2 linked regions of the Oryzias latipes genome follow. Each later gene encodes a partner of the first gene's protein in a complex. Links are inferred from orthologs where the notes say so. Each region holds a gene or a part of one and is shown on either strand. Other genes may lie near its edges. The genes, in order: smc5 and nsmce2.

Region 1 (3,822 bases):
AGCACCCCACCACCACCCAGGAGTTCCGGGCATCTCCCCGCCCCAACCCCAGGTACGAGCCAGGACCCCCCCAAGGGAGACCCGCTCCGCACTCCAGGCAGCCATCCGCCCGGCCCACGGTTGGTCCAGGGAGGAGCGAGGCAGGGGCCCGCCGCCCCCGCCCAGGAGGGGGGAACCCCGGGGAAAAAAGAGGGCCCACAAGGGGTGTTGTAAATATGGCCCGACCAGGCTCGGCCACAGTTGGAAATTTGGCAGGGCCCAGCACTCAGGAGCAAGGACCAGAACCCACCCCCCAGGGACACAAACACCCCCGGCTCAGATATAATGTGAACCCCCCCACCGTGCGGAGAGAGCACCGCCGGGCCCAGGAAGCCGGCACCCCGGGGACACGGCCGCCGTTGCAAAGGGGCCCGTACCCCCCACCAGGGAAGAGGCAGGGGACAGATGGTCCTAGGTCCCACCTTCCTTGCAAAATGTGTGTGCGTGTATGTGTGTTTGAGAGAGTGTGTGTGTGCATGTGTGTGTGTTTATGTTGGGATGTATATATTGAGGGGGGGAGGGGTGTATGTACTAAGGGGGGTGCAGTTAAAATTGGCGGGTAGGGCACTAAGGGCACATCTCCTGATTACTCACAGTGACGTCCCCTCACCCTCCCCACCAAGGGGCCCTAAACGTCTAAGGTGCGGTTAAAATTGGCGGGTAGGGTGCTAGGAGGACATCTGCTGCTTGCTGGCAGTGATGTCCAAGCACCCCCCCTACCAAGGGCCCTACATGTTTAAGGTGCAAATAAAACCGAAAGAGGGGGGGCCCACTCCATACGGCAACCATAGGAGGGGGGCCACTGCCTAGTAAACCCCCCCCAAGGCTCATCGCAGGCTAAGCCCCCCACCCCCTCACCCTATTATGAGGTTATATGAGGAAGGGGGCAAGTTGGGGACAGCTGATAGACTGTCCCCCGGTGGTCAAACAGCTGTCCCCCGCCCCCCCCCCCCCCCCCCGCCCCCAACAAGGGGGCCAGGCCCACCCAGCCCAGGGGCCCCACCCCCCCCACACAGAGAGAGAGGAGCCAGAAAGCGTTGGCCCCCCCCCGGAGCAAGCCCAGGCCCCCACCCCCAAACGCCGGCCCTAGAAGAGCTCTGGTCAGGCCTCGACGGGACCGAGGCAGCCAACCGGCCGGGGAAACCGCCGATGGCCTCAGCGGAGACCCCGACCCGTCAACCCCCCCTGCCCCGTACCAATAGTGGCCCCCATCCCTCCCCCAGAATGCCCCCCCACAGGACAGGGCCGACAAGACCCCCCACCCCACCCCCCCCCAGACCCCGCAGCCGAAGCGGATGACACCCAGAGCGACCGGGGGCCCCAAGAGGGTTGTCCCGTCCCGCCCCAGAGCCAGGGAAGGGCCGATCCCAGCCCCAGGTGTAGATGGGAAGCCCATCCAGCGCCGCTGGGCCCCCCCCCCGAGCAGCGCCCCCCGCCAACCCCCCCCAGCACAGGCAAACGGACCACCCCCCAAGCCAAGCCAGACCACCACCCCACCCCCCCACCACGCACCCCCACACCCAAGCCCAGAGGACCACGCAGCGCCCCAGCCTGCCCCACCCAGGCGCCGGACCCGACCCCCCGACCAACGGAGCCCCCACCACCCCCCGCCAGGCCCCGGAGGCCCCGACCCCCACCCCGGCCTACGGCAGAAGGGCAAGGAGCAGCGACGACCAGGCCCCCCCCACCCCCTAAGTCATGGAGTTAGCCATGGGAGACCAGAGAGACTGAATTCTTTCAAAGTTACTTGAACTTTGGGCTGACATTTTTTCCAAGCTGATATGATCAAGCAGCAGATTTCTGTGTTGACTTATATTTATATTTTTCTTGCTTTTTCAATTTATTAAAATAGTTTTTTTAGCAATGCAAAGAGTTATGAAAATGATAGAGCCTAATCCTCCTTCAACATCGATGGCACTCATGTCACCAAGCACACAAAGTGACGGTGAAGCTGTGATTGAAACCTTAAGCCAGACTGATAAATCGGCACATACCTGCTGCCAGAGAGCCTGGACAGGCGTGCAGAACCACAGTGCATGCATGTAATTATCGGGTAGATTACTTTCACAGTGCTGACAAATGTCTGAGTTGCTGAGACCCATCTTGAACATCCTCTGTCCAGTGTAGTAAATTCTGTGTAGAGTTTTGAAATGGATTAGCTGCAGATTTGGACTTTTTGTCATTTTAAAGGTGTTTAGACAAAGTTCTGACCAAAAGCTTTCATCTGTGCTGATGCTCAAATCCGCATCCCATTTTGTTGTCGGAAGTGAAATATTGTTATCTAAATTACATAAAAGTTTGTATATTTTGGAGAGAGTTTTATTCATTGAGAAATTGATCAGAGTGGTAACTACATCTGGTAGCTTTAAATCGTTGTCTCTGTATTTAAACTTTTTAGTAATAATTGATTTAAGTTGCTGATATTCCAAGAAGTTATATATTCCATGTTTGTCTTGAAGTTCCTGGGGAGTTATGAATCTTCTATCAATAATTATATGCTCTAGTTGTTTTATGCCCCCTGCTTCCCAAGCTGGGAAATGGATAATTTTTTTGTTTATGAGGATGTCTGGGTTGTTCCAGATGGGTGTCATTTTGCACGGTTGAATTGATGATTTTGATATTTTGAGAAATTCCCACCAGGCTGTTAAAGTGGCATTTATATTAATACTAAATAAACAATCCTGTTTTTTAACTATTTGGCTGATATATGGAAGATCTGACAGGTTGATCTTCCCACATAACGCCTGTTCCAAGTCTAACCATGAGTTGGTTTCTGGATTATTTTTAACCATTTTAAGATGTATTGTAATCTATTTGCAAGAAAGTAATTGTGGAAGTTAGGTAATTCTAATCCTCCACAGCTTTTTGCAGATTTTAAAGTTGTTGTGAAATGTTGATCTATTTTCATGATTGTGCCGCTTTTGGCAATATTGGAGCTATCCAGCCGTACAAGAACATGTTAAAAACACAATTTTGGGTCTTTTGAATCAGTGTATGTGCCTCCATGGTGATCACACGAAATCTTAGAAAGCAGTCAAACCATACATTTGCAGCTGGAGCTCAATTGCTTCATCTTTTACAGGCTCAGTACATCACACAAACCTTAGTGTTTAATTTACAAATTGATCCGTGTGATAATTTAGTTAGTTGAACAAAAATCAACTGGCCAAAAATTAGCTTGAAATACTTATTTAGTCAAAGCTGAGTTTAGATTTAGAATACAAGGTATTCTTCAGAGATTAAACAGTTTTATATAAAATTAAAAACATGATAAAAACCAATTTTCTAAATGGTCTTAGATTCTAATGCCCTAAAATGTAACTTTAGGTTGGCATGTTAGCAATAGTAACTTCCTCACTTGACAACAACAGCCTCTAGCTGTATCATAGGACCTTTCTTTTGTTTGTAAAAACTGCAGCACCTTCATTTCACTCGTAAATACACATTGATGTTATTATTTGACATTTGCAGGCGTTTCGGCTTTTTCTCTTACCTTCGGGAGATGTTTGACGCCCCTGATGACGTGATGAGTTACCTGTGTCACCAATACAAGGTGCACGATGTGCCAGTGGGCAACGAAACAACCAAAGCTATGATCAAAACGGTAAGTTTCTGCCATCCTTGGAGCAGGAAACGGATCATTTTAACTTGAAATGAAGACTTTTTTAGAGATTTAGTCTAAAGAATTTCGCCTTTTTTTAAAGCTTTAAATCCCACATGACATTATACACTTTCATGGCAGTAAATTGCATTTTTTTTAAAGAATACTTTTTTTGAATGATT
Region 2 (3,850 bases), on another chromosome or scaffold:
AGCAAGCAGGCGCTTCATAATAATCATAACAATAATAAAAGCACGTTTAGAAGATCATCTGGCGCATGTAAACATTTATTATAATCGGAAAAAGTTTTTCTGGGCCCATGTACACGGTTGAATTCGAATCCGATCAAAACATTTTGTACATGTAACCGCGGCTAATGTTTGTGTCTATTTTTCTGAAGACATCAATAAAGGTTGCATATTGAAATAAATGTTTAAAAATAGCAATAATTTGCATTCATTTGCATAATCCTTGAAGATAATTTCAGCCGGCAGCATTTACAGGCCACAATGAAGCCGAATTTGTTGTGAAAATGATCTATAAAATGAAAAAAAAAAAAAAGATTTATGTGTAGGTGGATGTCTTGAATGTCTCTGTTGCACACTTTTAAATGTAAGATTTTGTGGATGGAGGGTTTATTTATTTGGAAAGCAAAATATGTTGCTCTTTAGCTACATTCTGGCATTTACCTGCGTATTTTCCTGCCGACTTTTTAAGGGTTTTGTGCAACAAATGAAGGTTTACAAATGAGATGCTTGTGTTCTTAGCCAATCAGAAATCAGCAGAGAACACGGAGGAGTTTGATGAGGACATCGCCGTCACACAGAGCCAGGTCAATTTCACCTGCCCGCTCACACAGGTACATCGCTGACCCCCCCCCCCCCCACCACCACCTATTTTCTGACACACCTGTTTAACTTTTAACGTTAAGCTTTTTTTTTTTTTTTTTTTTTTTTTTTAAGGTGGAAATGTTAAAACCAGTCAAAAATAAAAAGTGCAACCACTACTATGATGAATCTGCCATCTTGGACCTGATCAAAACAAGACGCAACTTGAAGAAGAAGTGCCGGTACGAAACCCTAGTCTTTTGAGCTAATGAAACTTTATAAATCTAGTTCCATTTTGAGGATATGGTGATGTTCTCGATTACAAAGTTTGTGTTGGAGGGATTTAAGTGTTCCAAAGAAGAAACTGATATTTGTGCTTTGTTCCATTTCATTTAGATGTCCTGTGGTGGGCTGTGAAAACGCAGATGTGAAAGAGTCAGACCTCATTCTTGATCAGATACTGAGAAGAAGGATTCAGAACCAAAAGAAGAAAAACAGCAAAAATTAGCACTGCTTTACTGATAACCTATCTGTCCATGTTTTATTTTTTGGGGTGCAAATGTTCTATTTTTGTGCAAATATTTGTTCATTAAATCTGAATTTTTGGAACCTTTTGTCTTTTTTTTTTATCATGTTTGATATTTTGGTGATGCAATAATGTGGCTACACCACAAGAGGGCAGCGTTTCCACAAAGCCGTTTAGGGGCTTTTTCTACTATTTTAAATTAGTGTCAGGTGAAGATACTGTAATTAGTAAATACAGTAAAAAAAAAAATGAAACAATTGAGAGTTCCATCCTCCAGTTTTGCAGAAAAATATTTTTTTTGATGTAAAGATTATCCTGAAACTTCCAAGGTGACAAACAGTCTGTTCTTTCACCTCTGTGGAAATGCTCTTATGTGTTTAAACCTCGCTTTGCTTATTCACGCTGCTTATGAAGGGTCATTATTTCACAGAAAAACACAAACGAAGGCAGTGTTGAAGCTAATCTTTTAATAATCTTGCATCAGGCGTTTAAAAAGCAAGAACCTTTTACAAATTAAGAAATTAACAGGGAACAAATTCTCCTGCTATTGTCGACCCACTACCCCTCTGCTCGATTTTAATTACCATTCTGCAAATCTTATTGTGTTTGCCACACAACATGCGTCACAGTTAATTAAATAACTGCAAAATCTCACCTGTGATTTAGTCACTCATGGAAGAGAGGCTTTTTTTTCCAGCTGGTTCATTAATGTGTTTGAAAATGAAATCAAATTATTGAGTGCGATTGCCCACGTTTGACCTCAAATTAGCACTTATCTCCTCTAAAGCTTTAAGGCGTGAAAGCTGCCTGTAAGTCTGGATGTCTGGCTCATCCAAGGAGGATTTTACCTTTGGCTGCCTGGAAGCAAACAAACGATCATGTCTTGGCAGCGGTGTCTCGGCTGTGCCGGAGCTTTAGATAAATGAGCGGAGAGCAGCAGATAAGAACGTCAAAATTGAAGTTTAATCTATACTTTTTTTTGTTTTTTGCTTCAAACTCATAGGTTTGGAAGTAATCATAAAAAGCGACTTGTTTTTTTTTGGGGTGTTGACGCAGATCGTTCAAGGAAAATAATATTCTGGGCTTTATGACCTTCTCTAAGGTGAACAAAACTATTAAGGTCTGGCAGCAGAAAACACTCCAAGTGATGCATGAGCTTTTCAATCTGTATATTTTTTAAGCCGTGCAGGGCTGCTATGGTAAATCTTAAAAACAGAATTAAAAAAGATGATGGGAAACTTTATGAAGATGTGTAAAAAGTTGTATCTTACAACATTTATTTGAAATGTGACTTAATAAATACGTTTCACCACTTTTGTATGCATGAGAGTGTGTGACATACTTTGATGTATAGTCAGATCTGGACTGCAGGCAGGCTGGTTTTGCATCCCAACCCTACACTGTTCAGCAGGTTTGTGCTCCATATGGAATGTGGTTTTGCATTCATTAATATGAGAAGTATTTATTAAAAATCATTGTGTCGAAAAAATCAGACGTTTCTCCAAAACATGAATATGGTATTTGGCAACCTGATGCTGCTTTGAGCTGAGAGCAGATCAATCAGGAGGTCCCTGTCTTTGTTTACAATGAGGGATGTAGGATACTAACTCATCGGCTGCTCTATTAGGTTCACCTCGTACCAAGCCGGACCCCCTTTTTCCTTCAGAACTGCCTTAATCCTTGGTGGCATAGATTCAACAAGGTCCTGGAAACATCCCTCAGAGAGTTAGGTCCAAACTGACGACAGCATCACAGTTGCTGCAGATTTGTCGGCTGCACATCCATGATGTCAATCTCTCGTTCCATATCCCAAAGGGGATCTATTGGGTTGGGTTGAGATCTTGTGACTGTGGAGGCCGTTTGAGTCCAGTGAACTCAAGTTTATCCTGCTGGAGGTAGCCATCAGAAGATGGCGGTCATAAAGGGATGGACATGGTCAGTAACAATTCTCAGGTAGGCTGTGAAGTGGTAGTAAGGGGTCCAAAGTGTGCCAAGAAAATAACCCCCACACCATGACATCACCACCACCAGCCACATATCCATCCACATGTTGGTGAGGAAAATTTCCAGTAAGGTTTTCCATTTCCCACTAATCCAGGAAAACTCTAATCATTTAGTGATTTTAAAATCTTTGAAGATGCTGGAGGTTTTTGGAATTGCTAAACAATTCACTTATTCTCTTTAAAAAAAAAAAAAGGAGTGAATCTGCGCTCAAAGAAATGAAACATTAGATTAAAATAAAAAAGTTTCGTCAGCCGGTCCTACAAAACTATTTTGTTTAAATTTGAGAAAGAGTGGATGACTGAAATTTAACAAACTATCTTGAATAAATTCCACAGTACACAGTTATAGTAAGTTTACATTGTGCTATTAAGTATAATGCACTCAACATTCTTGCGTTGAGTTTCTTAATCATTATGTTGAATTTACTTAACATTATTACGTTAATTTTATAAATCTTTATTTTGGATTTACTCAACATTATTGCGTTGCATTCATTAATCATTATGTTGAATTTACTCAATATTGGGTTAAATTGTGAAACCTACATAAAACTTTATTTTCTCATTTTTGAGCAGAACAGCTGGAATTTTGGTTCACTGACATTCCCTCTTGCATTGGGAATAAATGTTGGCAGTGACGCCTGAACAGGGCATGCTGTTGCTTTAAGAGACACAACACCTCCCAGCAGTCAGATCTTGAACGAGT

Evidence for each region.
Region 2: smc5 (region 1) and nsmce2 share a complex: the UniProt entries of both Homo sapiens proteins name them as parts of the SMC5-SMC6 complex. The link is inferred for Oryzias latipes from reciprocal best matches to the Homo sapiens genes SMC5 and NSMCE2.

Annotation. Positions count from the first base shown.
Region 1 is NC_019865.2:11,190,664-11,194,485, reverse strand, and holds part of smc5 (structural maintenance of chromosomes protein 5), read left to right. Parts: intron 1-3,510; coding exon 3,511-3,643; intron 3,644-3,822. UniProt on the Homo sapiens protein: Core component of the SMC5-SMC6 complex, a complex involved in repair of DNA double-strand breaks by homologous recombination.
Region 2 is NC_019874.2:13,952,392-13,956,241, forward strand, and holds the end of nsmce2 (E3 SUMO-protein ligase NSE2), read left to right. Parts: intron 1-555; coding exon 556-647; intron 648-750; coding exon 751-857; intron 858-1,011; coding exon 1,012-1,123; 3' UTR 1,124-3,322; downstream 3,323-3,850. UniProt on the Homo sapiens protein: E3 SUMO-protein ligase component of the SMC5-SMC6 complex, a complex involved in DNA double-strand break repair by homologous recombination. Is not be required for the stability of the complex.